Rattus norvegicus: one gene and its partners. The protein of the gene in region 1 purifies or fractionates together with the protein of each later gene. This does not show direct contact. Links are inferred from orthologs where the notes say so. Each region holds a gene or a part of one and is shown in the gene's direction. Other genes may lie near its edges. The genes, in order: Pak2, Arhgef6, Git1 and Git2.

The links.
Region 2: the proteins of Pak2 (region 1) and Arhgef6 purify together in Homo sapiens (affinity purification with mass spectrometry; 3 studies listed by BioGRID and IntAct, counting the BioPlex papers as one, with this or other methods). This does not show direct contact. The link is inferred for Rattus norvegicus from reciprocal best matches to the Homo sapiens genes PAK2 and ARHGEF6.
Region 3: the proteins of Pak2 (region 1) and Git1 purify together in Homo sapiens (affinity purification with mass spectrometry; 5 studies listed by BioGRID and IntAct, with this or other methods). This does not show direct contact. The link is inferred for Rattus norvegicus from reciprocal best matches to the Homo sapiens genes PAK2 and GIT1.
Region 4: the proteins of Pak2 (region 1) and Git2 purify together in Homo sapiens (affinity purification with mass spectrometry; 3 studies listed by BioGRID and IntAct, with this or other methods). This does not show direct contact. The link is inferred for Rattus norvegicus from reciprocal best matches to the Homo sapiens genes PAK2 and GIT2.

The regions. Positions count from the first base shown.
Region 1 is NC_086029.1:82,243,411-82,248,620, forward strand, and holds part of Pak2 (serine/threonine-protein kinase PAK 2), read left to right. Parts: intron 1-2,715; coding exon 2,716-2,816; intron 2,817-5,117; coding exon 5,118-5,210. UniProt on the Homo sapiens protein: Serine/threonine protein kinase that plays a role in a variety of different signaling pathways including cytoskeleton regulation, cell motility, cell cycle progression, apoptosis or proliferation.
Region 2 is NC_086039.1:140,255,551-140,260,760, reverse strand, and holds part of Arhgef6 (rho guanine nucleotide exchange factor 6), read left to right. Parts: intron 1-456; coding exon 457-581; intron 582-3,403; coding exon 3,404-3,605; intron 3,606-5,210. UniProt on the Homo sapiens protein: Acts as a RAC1 guanine nucleotide exchange factor (GEF).
Region 3 is NC_086028.1:62,849,619-62,853,635, forward strand, and holds part of Git1 (ARF GTPase-activating protein GIT1), read left to right. Parts: intron 1-8; coding exon 9-57; intron 58-343; coding exon 344-416; intron 417-908; coding exon 909-1,006; intron 1,007-1,347; coding exon 1,348-1,459; intron 1,460-1,572; coding exon 1,573-1,706; intron 1,707-1,852; coding exon 1,853-2,005; intron 2,006-2,122; coding exon 2,123-2,353; intron 2,354-2,426; coding exon 2,427-2,480; intron 2,481-2,606; coding exon 2,607-2,693; intron 2,694-2,781; coding exon 2,782-2,855; intron 2,856-2,980; coding exon 2,981-3,163; intron 3,164-3,283; coding exon 3,284-3,347; intron 3,348-3,477; coding exon 3,478-3,690; 3' UTR 3,691-4,017. UniProt on the Homo sapiens protein: GTPase-activating protein for ADP ribosylation factor family members, including ARF1.
Region 4 is NC_086030.1:47,488,043-47,493,870, forward strand, and holds the start of Git2 (ARF GTPase-activating protein GIT2), read left to right. Parts: upstream 1-2,362; 5' UTR 2,363-2,452; coding exon 2,453-2,504; intron 2,505-5,828. Other genes in the region: Ankrd13a (ankyrin repeat domain-containing protein 13A), read right to left, coding at 319-747. UniProt on the Homo sapiens protein: GTPase-activating protein for ADP ribosylation factor family members, including ARF1.

The DNA.
Region 1 (5,210 bases):
AGTCATAAAAAACTGAAAAGACATTATTATTTGATGAAGGGTTAGAGTAGAATGAGGAGTGATTGCTAATTGAGAAAAGGTTTCTTTTTTGTTTGTTTGTTTGTTTAAAAATTTATTTATTATATATAAGTACACTGTAGCTGTCTTCAAACACACCAGAAGAGGGCGTCAGATCTCATTACAGATGGTTGTGAACCACCATGTGGTTGCTGGGATTTGAACTCAGGACCTCTGGAAGAACAGTCAGTGCTCTTAACAACTGAGCCATCTCTCCAGCCCGAGAAAAGGTTTCTTTAGGGGTTGATAAAATATACTAGTTATATGGTGATAATGATTGTGACATTATGAATATATTAAACCTCATTGGATCATACATACAACTCAAACAAGTAAATACAGCATAGATGGGAAAGAATAATAAAACTAGATTCAGCCAATTGCAAAAAATGATCAATAAAGCAGCCGAAACTGTAGCCTATAGGAACTCTACTTTTTTTTTATATTTTGTTTTGTTCGAGATGAGGTTTCACTGTGTAGCCTTGGTTGTTCTGGAATTTGCCCTGTAGACCAGGCTGGCCTTGAACTCATAGAGATCTGCCTACCTCTGCCTCTGCCTCCCGAGTGCTAGGATTAAAAGCATGTGCCACTACCACCTGTTTATGTGAAGTAGTAGTTGTTGTTGTTGTTGTTGTTGTTGTTGTTGTTGTTGTTTTAAATTGCATGTCAGGTTATAATGAAAGGTTTGCTGGAATTGGGAGTGAAAGCCAGGGCGGAGCATCTGGTTAGCCCATACAAGCCCAGGTTCAGTCTTCACTAAGGCACAATGGAATGTTATATACAAGTATGTACTGATAAATTCAAGTTATGGAAAGTGAATTTTTTTCTTAAACGATATAGATTTCCAAAGTTTACTTTTATAAAAATGATTAAAGACTGTGTATGTCCTAGAAGAATTGAGTTTATAGCTAAAACCCTTTCTACAAAGAAAATTATTAAAACCTACCTATCTTCATTAGTGAATCAATAAAATGTTTATGGATGAAATAAAACAATTCTATATAATTTCCATAAAATAGAATATGAGATGTTTCTGACACATTTAGTGACTTCAGTTTACCCAGACCAAAACATTACAAGAGAGCTATATTTTTCTCTTGAAGTTGGCGAAGTTTTAACAGTGGTACTCCAACAATGTGTGAGAAGAGCGATAGACCAGGGCCAGATAGAGCTTGTTTCATGACTGCAAGGACGATTAAGGTGGTGTAACTTAGGATAAGCAGTGTGGTTGTACAAGTAGAAAAGACACTGAACATAACTCAACATTCATTTCTGACATGTGCTGAGCAAACTTGAAATCAAAGGAAATGTAATAAATTTGATAAAGGGCATGTTAGAAACATTGACTGTTTATTAAACTAAAAAAAACTGACTATTTTCATTTCCTGTTTCAGTAAAAACACAAAAATACTTACTAAGGCCTTTACTTAACCATGGTCTGGGGACTAGCCAATTCAGTAAGGTGCGATGAATGAAAGAGTAAGAAAGCTCCAAATTAGGAAGGATATGGCCACCTCTCTTTGGTTCACTATAGCATATTACTTATAGAAAACTCTGTGAGGCCTACACAGATTTTAAAGTAAGTAAGAGAGTGTTCAAAGGTCAGGCCTAAAGAATGAAGTTTATTTTGTGTTCTCTGGTGGGGCTGATCCCTGTGCTCCAGTCATGCTAAGCAAGCAAGCTACCTCTGAGTTACACTCCAACCCACAAACTGTAGCGTCAAAAATAAGTATTCCTTTACAGAAATATGAAAGTAATGGCAGGGTCAGTATTCTGTCTCCCAATAACTAGCAAACATTGCTGAGAGAAATTAAACTCCTAATTTATAAAGATTTGTTATTGGCCATGGATCAGAAAGCAAAATGTGTATAAATTCTAAGTTGATTTATAGGTTAATGCAGTTCCCGTCACAGCCTGAGAAGGCTTTTTGTAGAAATGTAAAGCATTGTTAATTTCATATAGAAATGTAGAGGACCTGAAATCATCCTAGCAGATTTGAAAACAGTAAAAAAAAAAAAAAAAAAAAAAAAAAGGCCTTAGACTGTTCTTTTGATGTTTGTTATAAGGATGACAGTAATCAAGGTACACGGGGTTGGCATAATGATAGAGAGATGACTTTAAGAGAGCAGAGCATCCAGAAATAGATTCATGGTTTTAAGAGCTACAGATTAGAGGAGGAGGACTGGAGAGGAGAAGGAATTGATGTGTTTAAATGTGCAAAAAATGTTACTGATGTTGCAGTAATTTTTTTTACAGTGCAACTATAGGAGAGTTGGGTAATTTAAAGATGTAATATTTACAGACTGTAATAAAAAGGAAAGTATAAGCCAGGTATGGTGACTCATGCATTCAATCTTAATATTCTTAGGCTATACAGGAGAATTGCCATGAATTTGAGGCCAGTGTGGGCTGGAAAATGAGGCCCTGTCTCAGAAAAGCAAGTTGGAAGAAGAGGAAGGGAATGAAGGAAGAAATCAGCTTTCACAAGTGGCGTTTGTAAATTGTGTCATTGGAGGCCCCCTCCGTCAGGGCGCGAGATGTGTGTACCTGGGTCCTATCATAATTTTATTCATAATTGGTTTCAGGAAAATACAAACACAGTAACAAATGCCATAATTAGCTTTGTTTAAAGAGATAATTTTCTCCCTCATCCCTCAGGAAGTAAAAAGAAAGAAAAAGAACGGCCAGAGATTTCTCCGCCGTCTGATTTTGAGCATACCATCCATGTTGGCTTTGATGCTGTTACGGGAGAGTTCACTGTAAGTTACCAATTGAAGTTTGTTTATTAAAGCAGTGCTGAAAGGTTGGGGAATCGCTCTGTGGACAGAAGCACTCACTAGCTGGGCAGTAGCAGCCTTTAATCCAGGACTGGGGAGGCAGAGGCAGGTGGATCTCTAACTTCAGGACCAGTTTGGTCTACATGGTTTCAGGACAGTCAAAGCTGCATGGAGAAACCCAGTCTCCAAAACGTGAGAGAGAGAAAGACCTACTATGCAAGTATGAGGACCTGAGTTCAAATCTCCAGCTTGCACATAACCAGATAAAGTAATTGTAGTGCTCCTACTATGTAGTGGGGGACAAGAGAGACTGCATGCTCATGGAGTTGTGTGGTTATGGTGACGCAGTAAGAGCAAGCGACCTTTCTCAAGGAGGAAGACAACCATGCCTGAGATGATCCACTGGCTTCTGAAAATGTGCACACAGTCAAAATAAGAAACCAAAAAAGGAACTCCAGCATTTTGTTCAATGTTAGGCTTAAAATTAACTTTTCTCTCTGGTTTTTTGAGACTGGATTTTTATGTAGCCCAGGCTGGCCTCCCACAAACTTTATTTTGTAGTTAAGGCTGGTCTTGAATTTAGTCCTCCTGTCTCTGCTGTCCATGTGCCAAGGTGATAACTATGGGGTCACATGACTGGTATTGAACTTTTCTATCCCATATGATGATCCTTTCTTTATTTGTTGTTGTTGTTTGTTTAAAACAAAGTTCACTATGTCCCAGTAAAACCTGGAATTCTAAATTCTCCTGCTTTTAGGTGTCAGAGTGTGGGGTTATACACTGACTACATAGAATTAGTTATCAATTCTTACTGGTCATAAAAATATTAGTGTGACTCAGAAAATTAGAGCATTTGTTGCTCTTGCAGAGGATCTGGGTTCCGTGTCCAGCACCCACATGTGGCTCACAATGATCCACAATTCTAGTTCCGGTGTATCTGACACCTGTTTCTGACCTCTGAGGGCATGAAACATATAGGTGGACATACGTACATGCAGGCAGAATAGTCAGTCACATACAGAGCATAGCCTTCAAAGGGATTAGTAATTGGATGACCCTTTTCTCCAGAGAGCCAAGCCTATCAATTATAGTTATGAAAAACAGGTACAGAGTGTGATGGTTTGTATAGGCTTGGCCCAGGAAGTGGCACTATTAGAAGGTATGGCCCTGTGGAGTAGGTGTGCCATTGGGTGTGGGCTTTAAGACCCTCATTGTAGCTGCTTGGAAGTCAGTGTGTTCCGCTAGCAGTCCTCAGATGAAGACATAGAACTCTCAGCTCCCCCTGCTCCATACCTGTCTGGACACTGCCATGTTCCCACCTTGATGATAATGGACTGAACCTCTGAACCTGTAAGCCAGCCCCAATTAAATGTTGTCCTTATAAGAGCTGCATTGGTCATGGTGTCTGTTCACAGCAGTAAAACCATGACTAAGACACAGAGAAATGAACTTTTAGGGATAGGATGATGGCTCAGTTGGCAAAATGCTTATCTTGCAAGTATGAAAAGATCTGAATTCAGATCTTTCCTTAAAACTCATAAAAAGCCAAATGCTGGGGCTGGGGATTTAGCTCAGTGGTAGAGCGCTTACCTAGGAAGCGCAAGGCCCTGGGTTCGGTCCCCAGCTCCGAAAAAAAGAACCAAAAAAAAAAAAAAAAAAAAAAAAGCCAAATGCTGTTGCGTGATTCCACGCTCCCAACCTATTTGGTAGCATTTTAGGCCAGTAGAAGATCCTATCTCAAACAAAATTTGGAAGGTACTGGAGGACCACACTAGAGCCTGTCAGTTGACCACATAGTCCTTTTAAAAAAACCTAGACTTTTTGCCAGACATGGTGGCATACACTTTTAATCCCAGCATTTGAGGTAGGTTGATCTCTGAATTTGAGGCCAGCATGGTCTACAGAGTAAGTGAATCCTAGGACGGCTGAGGTTACACAGAGAAACCCTGTCTCAAAAAACAGAATAAAACCACTGTACATTTTAATCCCAATACTAAGGCAACTGTGGGCAACTAAGGCAACTGGAATTTAAAATATTTTGAGTTCCAGGCCAGGCTGGGCTATATAGTTAAAACTCTGTGTCAAAAATAAGTGAGTAGGGCTGTAGAGGGCTCAGGTTCGGAGCACTGGCTGTTCTTGCAGGAGACCTGGTTCAGCTCCCAGCACCCACACAGCAGCTCAGAGCCTTCCGTAACACGACTGCCTGGGTGTTGTCGTTGGCCTGTGAAATGTTTTTCATTAGAGCATTAAACCGTAACTGATTTGTGGATTTCTTTTGGTTAGGGCATGCCAGAGCAGTGGGCACGGCTGTTGCAGACCTCCAACATTACCAAACTGGAGCAGAAGAAGAACCCGCAGGCTGTGCTGGATGTCTTG
Region 2 (5,210 bases), on another chromosome or scaffold:
TTATGTTATGTGGGCCACACATATTTTGACATGTAAGCGAAGAACCCGTAAGTTATGAGCCAACAAACAAAGAGAGAAATTTGAAATATTTCCAAAGTATTAAGAGCCACAAACAGCTGTTTGGTACCCGATATAGGTCTGCCTTGGGTAACACGGCATACATACTGTGGCAACTGGTTCCGTAAGGGAAAGTTGTAGGGAAATGGGTTAGGAGAAAATGTGGTTCTGCCGCTGTTTTTCATTATACTGGACAGCAGTGGCCAGTAAGGTTAAGAAGAAAAAAGTTGGCCATTGAAAAGAAAAAAGGGAGGGGGAAGCCTAAAAACACAGCCTGTTCAGAGTGATAGTATCCCAGAAGCCACTAGGATGGCTTCGGCAATGTCCTGGGCTAGAGTGTACTGTAGGTGGTTTCCTGCTGCAAGTTTTATTTATTTATTTGTTTTCCTCTCTTCACAGATCAGCTATCAGAAAGACCATGTGGACGGTCCTCTTCTCTTAGTGCTACGACCAGCTCTCAGACAAACCCACAGGCAGCCGTTCCCAGCACAACTCCAGAGCAGCAAAGCGAGGAAAAGGCAGCGGTAAGTAGCATCTGTCCCCATTCCCTACTCCACTTTGTTTTAAAAATCTCTCAAGTGGGATGAACATCTCCCATGTATTTCCATGTGCACTGAGGTAGATATTCTGTTTGTTTGGGGTTTCACCAGAGTATGAGGTACAGAGTGAACTTCTGTTCAAGCTGGAATACTGGGAGAAAGCAGGTAGGGGAACTCCTCAGGGCTGAAGCTCTGTTGTTTACTAGAATTTAGCTAGTCACTAACTGGGAATGCTATGCAAATGTCAGTCATTATGAGTGCTCCTGATGGTCCTTTGCTGTCATTTACCCTACCCCAAGAGCTAATTAGAATGAATTATTACCTGGCACTCACAGGCAATCAATAAATACTCATTATTGTTCTGGTCTTGATTGCAGTTTCTTTTGTTTCCTTGCATTCCTATTGAGCAAGAAGGAAGCTTAGCTGGATGTGGTGGCACAAACCTGCATTCCCAGCTCTTTGGAAACTGAGGCAGGAACATCACTAGTTTGAGGTTAACCTGGGCTATATTGTACATTCAAGTTTGGTGTGTAAAAGAAGAACCACTTTTAAATATGAGCCCATGATACATCTCTATACTGGATCTCCTAGTTGTCTTCAAATCTGCTCTTAGACCTATGGTTCTCACCTTCCTAAAGCTGTGACTCTTCAATACAGTACCTCGTGTTTTGGTGACCCCCAACATAAATAAAATCATTTTCACTGCTACTTCATAACTGTAAGTTTGCTCCTGTTATGAATCATAATGGAAATATCTGTGATTTCTTATGGTCTTATGCAGCCCCTGTGAGAGGTTTTCAACCTCCAAAGGGGTCTCCACCCACAGCTTAAGAACCACAATCTTAGAAACTTTGATTTTGGAGGAAATGCCATTTTCTATTCTTTCACTCTTGTCAAAGATATTGGCTTACTGTAGGCCACCACAACTTGTTATTTCCAGAACGTCTAAACAGGTGCTTCTTATCCTTTTGAGGTCACCTCTTCCTTCTCATTCTTTTCAGATAGGCTCTCGCATAACCCAGCAGGGCATAAAACTTGCTATGTCCTGGGGAAGGTTGGGGGGAGAATGACCTTGAACTTCTGATCCTCCTGCCTCCGCCGGCTAAGAACTAGGATTACAGGTGTGTGCAATCGTACTTGGTTTGCACAATGCTGGGGATCTAAGCAGGGCTTCTTGAATGCCAGATAAGCACTCGGCCAACTATGTTACTGCCAAGCAGCCCCATAGAAAAGCTGTTGAATGCTATGACACCATATTCTTTGCCCTCTCTTAAACTGTGTATAAAAGCTCATGTGGGTAACCTAATATGAGCAAAGAAAGCTACACTGGGTTTATGAGAGTCTCATAAGGATCTATGACCTTCAGATGTTAAACCCAGAACTTCTGACTTACATAATTGTGACTGTTATGAGGTAGTGTCATAGAGCCCAGGCTGACCGTGAACTCTCTGTGTAGTGGAGGATACCCGTGAACTCCTTATCTTTTCCCCTTCAAATCCTAAGTGTTCAGATCATGCATGTGTACCTTCACCTATCCAGCTTAATATTGATCACAGCCTAACTGATCTTTACTTATGACGGGGCGCTGGCCTACTTCAGATTTGTTAGTAACTGTGAGGTGGGAGTGATTTTTCCAAGAGTAGGTTAGTAGCTAATATTTACACCGAGTTTTATGTTGGAGAGAAGCAAGATGGAATGGTGTATTAGTTTACTTTAGTAGCTTGTTCAGCTAAGTAGCCAGGTTTAGAAAATGAAGAGGAGAATGAAAGCTGTGACTCTCTCAAAAATATATGTTCTGAGAAATGCAATTTTTATTTTAAAATTTATTATTATGGTTGTTGTTGTTTGTGTGTTTTATCTGTGTATGAATGCAGATGCACGTGAAGATCAGGGAACACCTTTTAAGAGTCAGTTCCTTCCTTCCTTCTTTCCTTCTTTCCTTCCTCCCTTCTTTCCTTCTTTCCTTCCTTCCTTCTTTCCTTTTTTCCTTCCTTTCCTCCCTCCCTCCCTCCTTCCCTCCCTCCTTCCTTCTTTCCTTCCTTCCTTCCTTCCTTCCACCATGGGCTCCAGGAAGGGAACTCAGGTCATCATCTCCCTGAAAACATTTGCATATGGATACGAAGGGGTTGGTAAATTCCCCTGGACCTATTTGTAGACTCCTAGATTCAAAGCTGAGGCTAGGCTAGGCAAGGCAGAATGTCATATGCCTGCAATCCTAGATTCTGGGAGGCTGAAAGGCAGGAGAACTGCTGTGAAGCCTGCCCAGTGTACAGAGTGAAGCCCTGGCCAGTCTGAGCTAATATGAGACATTGTCAAAAAAACACAAAAATAAAGTAATCAAATGAAATGAGCTTGGAGTTTTACTCTTTTTTAAATTGAAAAAAAATGTGGGTATAGGTGTTTTTTTAAAATAATCTTTTTTTGGGGGGGGGTTCTTTTTTTCGGAGCTGGGGACCGAACCCAGGGCCTTGCGCTTCCTAGGTAAGCGCTCTACCACTGAGCTAAATCCCCAGCTCCAGGGTATAGGTGTTTTATCTGCATTATGTCTGTTCACCACTTACAAAAGTGCCCAAAAAGGCCAGAAAAAGGCATCAGATTCCCTGGAACTGGGATTACAGATGTTTGTGAGCTGCCATGTGGGTGCTGGAAATCCAACCTAGGTCCTTAAGAGGAACCAGCATTGTTAACTGCTGAACAGATTCCTGGGGTTATAATTTTCATCACTCCACTTTGTCTACATATGCATAATGTCTATGCATGTATCCATTAGCTAGACAGTTAATCTGATGTGGCTTTTGTTTCTCTAGGAGATGACGGAAAATGGAAGTCACCAGTTGATAGTAAAGGCAAGATTCAACTTCAAGCAGACCAATGAAGATGAATTGTCAGTGTGTAAAGGGGACATCATTTATGTCACTCGAGTTGAAGAAGGAGGCTGGTGGGAAGGCACATTAAATGGGAGAACCGGATGGTTCCCTAGTAATTATGTTCGAGAAATTAAACCCAGTGGTAAGTAAAGCTTTTAAAGTCTTAAAACTCGTTCTTTCTTGGCATTGTTATTGAAAATGTTTTATTTTAAATTGTTTAACACAGTTGATACATGTATGTCCAAAATAAGACTAGACTAGAACTGGGAATAATTAGATATGTTGAAACAAAGCTGTATTTAGATTACGGGAAAGCTAAATAAGCAAAGGAATCCAATGTTCAGGCAACTGCTCGACTGTAAGCATGAGCCTCTCTGCCCACTGAGTCTAGCCCAGAGTCCTTCCTGCTCCTCTCAGAATCACCATGGCAGAGGACAATAACAAGAGAAGCTGAGAGCTGACTTCCCTTTTTAGCTCTCCAGTCTTTCAGCAGACGTCAAGACTGTTAAGACTGCCTCAGAGATGTGTGAGAGAGATAACAGTCTCCCTGCAGAAAGCTGTCTGACCACTTTGAGAACAAGGTTGCCCTTAGCTTATTGTAAATCATGAGCTACTTTTCCCTTTCTTGAACAATGAACACAAAATAGACTCCAATTGCTCTTGAGAAGTCTCTTTCAGAGGCTTTTGGTAACTTATTTGTCCTTCTTAAAAAAGAAGGAAGATTCTTCTTAGAATAATAAGCAGAAATTAGCAGTCTTGTGGTGTATATCTGGTATCCTAGCCCTGGGGAAGTAGAAGCAGGCGGGTTAAGAGTTTAAGGTTATCCTTTCCTATAAAAGAAGTTTTAGCTTGGACTACTTCAGACTTTGTCTCAAACCAACCAACGACAGAAATAGACAGAACCCTTCCAGAACCAGTTTATGATAATACATAGACAGATAAAAGTGCTGTTATCATAGCTCTTCTTTTCTAAAAAAAATATTTACCCAAGGGCTCCTTTCAGTGGCTTGATTCCCAGTGTCTTACTTCTTTTGTATGTACTCGTTTTTATTTTAGTGCTTCCAAACTGGTAGGTCTAGTGGATTAAGGTGCTTCCAACCAAGTGTGTCTATCTGAGTTCAAGCCCCAAGACCCACAGAGTAGAAGGCAAGAAACAACTGCCAAGGGTTATTCTCCGACCCCAAGATATACAGCAGAGTGCATGCCTCCTAAAGCAAACAAATAATTTTAATTAAAAAATAAAAACCAATATTGTATGGGCCAGTGAGCTGCCCCGCGGGAGAAGGTGCTTGCTGTACAGCCTGGCCCTTGTCTGATCCTAGAACCCATGGAAACGTGGAAGGAGAGAAGCAACTGCCTAGAGCAGCCACTTCTTGACCTCGGCATGGCTGGAGAGCCCTTCCCCTACACACATCATGCTCACATATACACAGAATATCTTTTCACAATGATACTTTTAATTAATGAAAATATAGACTCACTCTAAATAAAATATTCCATAAGTATAGTATAGTTGCTGAAAATTCCTTCTCCTTCCGTAGCTTTTTTCAGGTAACTATCGCTTTAAGAAGATATTCCTTCAAGAACTTAAGTTGTAATTTAGCCGTGCCACTTTCTGTGTTCTAGGATAGGGGATGGGAGCGTCTCATTTAATGGAATGTGTTTGTGTTTGTGAAGGATTTATAAATTTTTGTTTGCATGGATCTCTCATCAGTTTTTGTCATGCTTGGGCATGGTCCTACCTAGT
Region 3 (4,017 bases), on another chromosome or scaffold:
GTCCACAGTTTGGATCTGTCTGAATTGGCCAAAGCTGCCAAGAAGAAGCTACAAGCAGTGAGTCTGCCTCAACAAGCTAGGACTTCTTAGAGCAGCCCTCTCCAGCCTTGCCAGGCTCCTCCCTCCAGTCACCTCCCCATGCCCTTGTCTTGATCCTGGTTCTGCCCTCCAAGTGTGTGTCCAGAGCCTCGCCTCTGGGAGGAGGAAGTAACCTGGACTCTTCCTTGCACATAGAACCTCACCCACCCCTCAGTTCTAGGACAGGCTGGGTGACAGCGGGGTCATGAAACTTCCCACATCACACAGCCTCCTGACAGACCCTGGGCCCCCTCTCTGCCTCTAGCTCAGCAACCGGCTCTTTGAGGAGCTCGCCATGGATGTGTATGACGAAGTGGACCGGAGAGAAAATGATGCAGGTGAGGGAGAAGGGACCTGCCACAAAGAGCCAGGACCCAGTGAACCAGGGAAGGGGGTGCTGCTCAGAGGCCACTGGAGTCCCTGTCACACACGACCCCCTCCCCCATACACCCTTGGGCAGCGCTAAGCTGTCAGCAGCCAGCCGCCTCTCTACCCACCAGGCACTGGGGCTCATCTTGCTCTGGCTGCCTCCCACTCTGGCTGTCTCCTCAGCCATGCTCCACCCCTACCCTGCATCACTCCTCCCTGGCCACAGCCAGATTCCAACCCAAACTCTGGGTCTGGCCTGGTGGGCCCTGCCTTGTTGTGTTGTCAGTGGGCGGGCCTCACTGGGCCTGGCCCAGAGTTTGTGTTGGTGGAGACCCTGCTTCCTGCCACACTGGCCCAGTCTGAATAGAGGAGGGCCTGGGGGGCTCTGCTCAGTGCTCCTCCCCCTCTTCTCTGAGGGTGCATTCACAGTGGGTGATCTGCTCCCTGCCCTTCCCCCACAGTGTGGCTAGCTACCCAGAATCATAGCACCCTGGTGACAGAACGCAGTGCTGTGCCCTTCCTGCCAGTCAACCCTGAATACTCAGCCACTCGGAATCAGGTGAGGAGGGATAGGCAGGAGGCCTGGATGGTTTCCTCTCTGAGAGCCCTGCCCTTCCTGCCAGAGACAAGCTGGCACCCAGGCAGGCTCTCCTGAGGCCTCCCTCAGGATCTGACTAGGAATGGCATGAAGCTATTCTCTAGTACTGGTGGGTACTTCAGCCTCCTAAGGGCTCCCTTGGGTGCCTTTGCTGACCTGGGCTGCCACACTGCTGATGTGGGGCTGGGTGTTTTAGCTACAAATAGGCGGATGGCAGGGTCCTGCTTTGTTGTCCTGTTCCAGCCCCTGAGCCAACCAGACCTGTGGTCCCTTATTCTGGCCTTGCCCTTTCTGCCTCGCAGGGACGACAGAAATTGGCTCGTTTTAATGCCCGAGAGTTTGCCACCTTGATCATCGACATCCTCAGTGAGGCCAAACGGAGGCAGCAGGGCAAGAGTCTGAGCAGCCCCACAGGTGGGAGCACGAGCAGGCCACGGCGGTGCTGCAGGCCTCGGTCACCTCTGCCCAGGCACGCGATAAATGTGTGTGACTGAGCAAGCCCTGAGACACAGGTCTTCTGTCTTTAGACAACCTCGAGCTGTCTGCACGGAACCAAAGTGACCTGGACGACCAGCACGACTACGATAGTGTGGCTTCTGACGAAGACACAGACCAGGAGCCCTTGCCCAGTGCTGGCGCCACGCGGAACAATCGTGCCAGGGTCTGAAAACTGACCCTGCTCTTCCCTCCCGTAGTCTCCTCTGTTCCTTCTGGCCTCTCTAGACCCAGCTCCATGTTTTTTAACTCCATGACCTATAGCACTGGTCAACCTCTGTCCCTGAGACTGACTGGCTTCTGTCCCTGCAGAGCATGGACTCCTCAGATCTGTCGGATGGGGCTGTGACGCTGCAGGAGTACCTGGAGCTGAAGAAGGCTCTGGCTACCTCCGAGGCCAAAGTGCAGCAGCTCATGAAAGTCAACAGCAGTCTGAGTGACGAGCTTCGGAAGCTGCAGAGGGAGGTGAGCACTGTGGCCGGGGAGTGGCAGAAAAGCATCCAAGATTCTGGGAGTGGGGTCACCCTTTCCAAAGGTGGTACCTACCTTGACCCAGAGGTGGACACCATTATGTACACTCAGATCCACAAACTGCAGGCAGAGAACCTGCAGCTCCGGCAGCCACCAGGACCAGTGCCTGTACCCTCACTTCCCAGTGAACGGGCAGAACACACACTCATGGGCCCTGGTGGAAGTACCCATCGCAGGGACCGCCAGGCCTTCTCTATGTATGAGCCAGGCTCCGCCCTGAAGCCCTTTGGAGGTGCACCTGGGGATGAGCTCGCCACACGGCTCCAGCCTTTCCACAGCACAGTGAGTAGCCTGCTGGCCTTGGTTGGGGAAAATAGGGTCACAGCTTATCATGACACTGTTCTGCTTCCCTCAGGAGCTGGAAGATGATGCCATCTATTCAGTACATGTCCCTGCTGGCCTTTACCGGGTAAGCAGGACCTGGGGACGGAGGGTGAACCCTGCACCAGTGAGTCACCAGCCCCAATAGCTGTGAAGCTGCACTGGGACACTGAACTACAGTGGGAACTGACTCTGGCCCTTCCCTGGTTTTCAGATCCGGAAGGGGGTGTCTGCCTCTTCTGTGACCTTCACTCCCTCCTCCCCACTGCTGTCAAGCTCCCAAGAAGGAAGTCGCCATGCGGTAATGTTCATCCCAGTGCCCAGGGATGGTGTGGGCTTTACAGTTCCAGATTGTGTGCTCACCCATCACCCTTCCCCCCCCCCTCCAGAGCAAGCTTTCACGCCACGGCAGTGGCGCAGAGAGTGACTATGAGAACACACAGAGTGGAGAGCCTCTGCTGGGGTGAGCATCTGTGGGTCCTCCCAGCTCTGCCAGCACCGGGGGGAGGTGGTGAGGGCCCAGCCGTGCAGGTGCAGGCAGGCCGTCAGTGACTAGAATGGCTCCTTTTCTCTCCACACGTGGATTAGACTTGAAGGGAAGCGATTCCTAGAGCTGAGCAAGGAGGATGAGCTGCACGCTGAGCTGGAGAGCTTAGATGGAGACCCAGACCCCGGGCTCCCCAGCACAGAAGATGTCATCCTAAAGACAGAGCAGGTCACCAAGAACATTCAGGAGCTATTGCGGGCAGCCCAGGAGTTCAAACATGACAGGTAGGGTGGGCACAGGTTCTTGTTAACCTGTGACTACTGGGTGGAGGGTACTGCTAACTAGGGTCCTCTGATGCTGGGACTCTGAGAAATCCCTCATCCAACTTCTCTCTTCCCTGACAGCTTTGTGCCCTGTTCAGAAAAGATCCATTTGGCTGTGACTGAGATGGCCTCTCTCTTCCCAAAGGTACAGGGGCCACAGATAAGCAGAGTGGGAGGGCCTTCGGGTGGGGCAGAGGCAGGTAAGCTGCCTGGGTGGAGCCAGTCAGAAACCTGGCTTAAAGTCCAGGGCTCATCCTCCTCCCTCCTCCCTCCAGAGGCCAGCCCTGGAGCCTGTGCGCAGTTCACTGCGGCTGCTCAACGCCAGCGCCTACCGGCTGCAGAGTGAATGCCGGAAGACAGTGCCTCCAGAACCTGGCGCCCCTGTGGACTTCCAGCTACTGACTCAGCAGGTGATCCAGTGCGCCTATGACATCGCCAAGGCTGCCAAGCAGCTGGTCACCATCACCACCCGAGAGAAGAAACAGTGACCACTTTCCCTGCCCTTACCCACACCCTGGGACCTCACTGGCCATGGGAGCTGGGCCACTCCAGACACTAACCCACCCCCAACAGAGCCACTGGCACAAGTGCCCTTAGTGCCACCATTCTCCTCTGGCATCCAGGTGCCCTGGTGTCCACACCCCCTTAAGCCCCAAGGATGGGAATGTGAGGTGACAGGACCATCTGTCCCCCACATTCCACGCCCCTCCCTCTGTACATAGCATCCCTGCCCTGCTGATACGCAGGAGCCTCAAGGAGTCCCTCCCAGCTCTTCACCTGCCTTCCAGGGCCCCCTCAGCAAAGGGTGGGACAGG
Region 4 (5,828 bases), on another chromosome or scaffold:
GTGTGTGTGTGTGTCGCTCTTCCGTCTTCGAGGCCATAAAGCTTAAAGGTGAATTCCCGGGCCAGCCGGCCTGAGATAAAAGATCCCGACGTGGTTCTCATTAGCTCGGTGGCCTTGCGCCTTGCGCAAGGCAAGTAGGCTCTGGGGTCTCAATTTCCTTCCCGGTCAAGCGGAATACTAAGCACTCATTCCTAGTGATATCAGAAAGGGGAGAGTGGACCAAAAGCCCAAGGCACCGGGCCCGGTCTACGGTGAGCGCTTGATAGATCCCGGGACTCGGGAGTCGAACCGACTCTGACTCCGCGCCGCGCACCTCACCTGGTCCCGCAGCTCCTTCTCCAGCTGCCGGTAGTCGTTGTTCCAGACCAGAAGGTGCAGCGGGAAGCGGCTGCTGGTGTCGCGGGCCGAGGACATGGCGAGGAGGTCGCCACCCAGGCCTGACCGCCCGCCTGCCACCAACCTGGACCCACCCGACGGGGTCTCGGGGGCCCGCCCGACCGGACGGAGAGCGAGGGGAGGAGAGCGGCGAGCGGCCAAGTGCCGGGCGCAGCGGACGACAAGGGCCTCCGAGTCCGGAGCGGGCGGCGCGGGAGGCCCGGGGTCGCGGGCCGGGCTGGGGACCGGCTCGGGGACCCGCTCGGCCGCGCCCACCCCGCGCCCCGCGCGCTCGCGCCCGCGCTGACAGCTAGCGAACCGACTGCTGCCGGCCGAACCGCCCCGAACAGGGAAGTACGCGAGGCGTTCCATCACGCTCCGCGGAGGGGGACCTGACTTCCTGAACGGACCGAGTCCCGCTCCATGTCGCCCCACCAAGCCCCCACGCCTGGACACACGACCACCACCGTTCTGTGGAACTGCGGGACCCTTGGGAAGCCCGAGATCTCCACGCACAAAACCCACTGTGCGCGCCCTCCGACTCTCGTCCCCTGCCCGGCCTTCTCCAGTGGTGCGCTCCACAATCGGGCCTCTTCCATCGGCTCTGCCGCCCGGGGGTGCACGCGCAGGCCTGGACCAAACCATCGGACTGGAGCCTCCCTCAGCCGCCGCCTTCCGCGATTGGTCGGAAACCATTTTGGAAGTGGGCAGCGTGAAATCGTGTTCACAGGAGATCTGGACCCCGGATAAGTGACACCAGATACCCTCACTATCGGGGTAGTTGTGTCTCTGGGCTTTTAAACTTTGCAGTGTTTGAACTGGGGGGTTCTGTGCGCGGAGGTCATCCGATGCTTTGTAAGTTAGGGTGGACGCTCGCCTGTTCCATGCTGTCAGTACTCACACTATCCCCCAAACTGTCTCCAGACACGGGCAGTTTTTTCCCCTGGAGGAAGAAAACCGCCCTGTTGAAAACCGCTGTTCTGTCTGAATTTCCAACTCGGCTATAATTCAAAGTGCTTGCCGTGAAGGTTTATCCCGCATCAGCCTCACTAAGCTAACCACTCAGATTTAGGATTGTGGCCCAGAGGAGTATCCAGGTTGGTCCACAGTATGCACAAGTAAAATTCATCCTTTGGGTTGCGACTTCAGACACTGTGTCTTCTCGTCACAACGAAGAAACAAGTGCTGTCTCTGCCCAGGTGTTTACAGCTGCCACGAAGTCCTCCAGTGCAACCTGCAAAGCACCCCCTCTTCCTTATTGGCTCTATATACACAACCCATCTCTTCAGATGAGTGCGAAGGCTGTCCAAGAAAACTGACCACGTCCATTCTGCTCGGGTCTGGAGTCCTTGAAGAGTGAATGGAGCTAATACAGGATACAGTGACATAAAGACGGCACCTAGGGGCTGGAGAGATGGCTCAGAGGTTAAGAGCATTAACTGCTCTTCCAGAGGTCCGGAGTTCAATTCCCAGCAACTACATCGTGGCTCATGACCATTGGGATTCTATACCCTTTTTTCGTGTGAGCTGCAGCGTACTCACATACAATAAATAAATAAATAAATAAATAAATAAATAAATAAATAATAAATAAATAAATATTTTCTTAAAAAACGATGGTACCTAAAAGCTCTAATGGCAACTATCCATCACGTTGGATAAACACATTAGACTTCTGAGGCCTCTTCTGGACATAAACTTCACCGTTGTCTCTGGGAGATTATATGTATAGAGTTTTTGTCACAAGGCCTTGCTTCTTCCTCTGGTCCTAATCAGTCCTGGGACAAGAAATCACTTCCCAGATGGAAGATCCCAATTGCGAGAGTATCTAGAGACAGTCACAGGAGGCTTGGGCAGACCTCTGCCCTCATTCAAGATGGCGATAAGGAAGCGTGCCCTTTCCGGTCACATGACCCGCTGGGGCTCCGCAGGACGTCTCCCCGCGCGTGCGCAGTGCGCCGGGGCTGCGAGGCGCTGAGGGGAGAGGCGCCGCCAGCGCCGCCCGGGGACCCGTTAGAGCGGAAGCGCAGCCGCCGCCTCTGCCGTCGCGGGGTTCCCGGCAGGTGAGGTGGGAGCCATGTCGAAGCGTCTCCGGAGCAACGACGTGTGCGCCGACTGCAGCGGGCCTGGTGAGTGACGCCGGGCCCGCTCGCCGCGCTCTCCGGGCCGGGACCCCTGGCGGGGCGGTCCCCGCGGGCGGGAGCTTGACTGCGGCCCACTCACGCCGACCCCCGGGCGGCCGGGGCGCGAGACCGTCCCGGGCCTGTCAGCCTCAGGGTCCGAGGCTCCCTCCCTCCCGCGGCCCGGCAGAACGCAGAAGCAGAGGGCCTGGGACCGGACGGGACGGGAGGGGACGGAACGGGTTAGGCAGCCCCGGAAGGCCAGTGACAGGACAGGAGTCAGAGGCGGGCGGCCCGCGGCTGCAGGTGTTTCCCCTTCCCGGTCTCCCGCCCGCTGCGCCGTCCCACGGGCCCCAGGTGGAGGACCGCCCTACTCCGGGCGGCCGCTCCTGGGAGACAGACAGCCCCAGGTCGGGAGAACAAGTTTGAGGGTCTGAGTTCCCACCATATTTTGCCTCTGTGTGACCTTGGACTAATGGCTTTTCTTGTTCAAACCTTGATTTCCTCGGTTTTGGTCCCCCCGACCCCCCATGGAAACCCTCGCCAGTGCAGTGTGCACCGTGGTCAATGGATGTTCCCTGGGGATCATCTCTTTTGTAGGATGTCAACTCAGTTCAAAACCCCTTGTCGTTCGTTCCTTTAGTGACGTTTTGGCTTCAGAGTCGCACCAAACTAACACACTTGTCGCTGGCGGTATAAACTCCGCGACTTCGAAGTGCCAAAGCTGTTCTTACTGCAGATAGGACTTGGATTTGAACATTGGATCTGGCTTTGCAGTTGGGACCCAACTGACAGGTCGTGCTCTATTCAGGTCTTTAGGTGCTCATTTCGGTCCTTTGGACTTTTCGGGTTTGAAGTCAAATATCAGATGACTTTCTTGGTGCAGCGAGCAGTGTTCAGTAAACAGTCTTAATTGAGCCATTGAACATCCGCAGCTTGCAACTGGTTTTTCCTCTCCATCTTGTCATTTGGAAGCAGAGATTGGTTTTAAGTTGTTCCGGGGTAGCCTGTACTGGTTATCTCATGGCCTGGGTCCTACAGCTTTACAAGTGAAAGATAAAGGGAGACAGGAACAGTTTTAAAAGAGGGGCTTTATTTGAAAGCCAGGTTTATACTATCATTTCTAACATAGCTAACCGATGCTGTCTGTTCCGCTTCCTTCTTTTCTTGCCTGTGTTGATTCAAGTGTGTCTAACTTAAAACTTCCTCTTGGGAAGCGTGCTTCTTATTCCTCCAGGGGGATGGTACATGGCAGAGGCGGATGGCCTCCCCTTGGCATGCCGAACACTGTCTTGTCCATTCGTGGTATTTCAGGACCTTTTCTGTTGTTTTCATATTAGAAGTCTTGAAAAAAATCTAAAAAGGCTTGAGTCACTTCCTTCCTGTTTTGAGTAGAATGAAGCTACCTTGAAGGGTTAGGGACCAACTAGGAATGTGTGCTGCCTTTTGTGCACCGCTCAGGCCAAGGGTTACCTGTAGGACTAGGGCTCATTTGAAATCCTCATGCTAAGGCCTTCTCAGAAGTTGCTCAAATACTTAACTCTCCTGGACAACATTTGCATGAGATGAGTAGGGGCACAGATACTTTTGAAATCCATTTGTGGTGTTCATGGAGCCTGATTAAAAAGTCCTGCCTTGGGGTTGGGGATTTAGCTCAGGGGTAGAGTGCTTGCCTAGCAAGCGCAAGGCCCTGGGTTCGGTCCCCAGCTCTGGGAAAAAAAAAAAAGTCCTGCCTTCCAGATAGACTGGAAGGGCTTCACCCAACCTTACTAATTAAAAAGCTTAAATTTCATTTTGTGTGCGGTCAGTGTTCTTTCCATGGGTTTCTGATCCATGCGCTCAAGTGACTGATGGAGACCACTGCGTGATTCGTGGTAAGACGTTGCTGTCCTTTTCTGCCTGGTTTGCCCCGAGAGAACTGTGGACCTCTGATAATGAAAATCAAAGCCACACTTCCAGTCTTAATGTTAATGCCTTGCTGCAGAAGGCAGCGCTGGTGCATGCCTGCGTGAAGAGCCTCGAGTCTCCCACCCTTGCTTGCTCCTTAGAATGCCTGGTAGCACCAACGGTGAAATCTTTCCTGTTTTTGTTCTAGAAGCCACACTCCACTGTGATTATGTCTGTTTGCCTTTGTGTGCCAGGGATCAAAGCCAGGTCCTCACAATTGCAAGGAGAGCCACACCCTCTGGGCCCTGATTTCTTGTTTGTTTTTAATGAGTCTCGTTCATTTAAAATGCACCTTTCCTGCCCCACAGTGGCAGACACTATATTTATTTATTTTTTTCTTTTTTTGGGGGACCGAACCCAGGGCCTTGTGCTTGCTAGGCAAGCGCTCTACCACTGAGCTAAATCCCCAGCCCCTTATTTTTATTCTTTACATCGTCCCTCCTGTGAGATGTGTCACTATTCCACTTCGGTCCACAGTGAAGACACTCAAAGAAGCAGCTTGCCTCGTCAGATTATTGCACAAGATGTGACGGCAGGGTTGGGATTCAAACCATGGACTGTTTGTCTCCATAACCAACCCTCTTAACCACTGCACGCTCTGGCTCCCAGGGTTTTCTCTGATTGAAGTCCCACAACTTTTCATCACATGGTTTGCAAGGGTTGGAATGAACTTACAAATGGTAAAGATGTCTACATGCATCTCAGAGATTCTTACAGACACTGAAGAATTTAAAATGTAACCCTTATGCCAGGCAGCTAGAGTAGCACCTAGTGTCACCCCACTGTGAGTCTGATGAGATGGGGTTACTCACCCATGTGCATCCTACCCACCCAGTGTGAATTATTCCTTGTATGACAGGTTGTCGGAAGTTTTGTGGGATTTTTAAAGGGAAAAGGTACTGTACTCAACCAGAAGTACCATTCATTTTTGTTTTATGTCTGTTGGTTTGAAGCATCTTTCTTCAGATCAGCTGCACGACTGGATCCAGCAGGTGATCTAAAGCAGACCTGTCAGAGAGCATCATCTGAGCAGAGCGGACAACCCTTGCTTGCCTTCAGGCGCGGCAGCCGGGTGCTTCTGCTGTTCTCTTCTGGCTTCTGTTAGCACATGGGTCTGGACTTCCTGTTTCGGGCAGCAATAAATTCACAATTTACCTTAGCTACTGTTACACAGATAATCCACTGTCAGGTCACACAGCTCTGTTAGTCACAAAAAGGGGCTCAACTCGGTCACCCAGCTGGTGATCAGTGGTAGAGTGCTTGCCCTGTAAGGACAAGGCCCCAGGCTCAGTCTCCAACACCGCAGGAAAACAGTGGAGTGATCTACCTCTGCTGCCTCAATCTGCCACTTTAACTAGCGTTCCCTGAGAGCACGTGTCTGTGGTG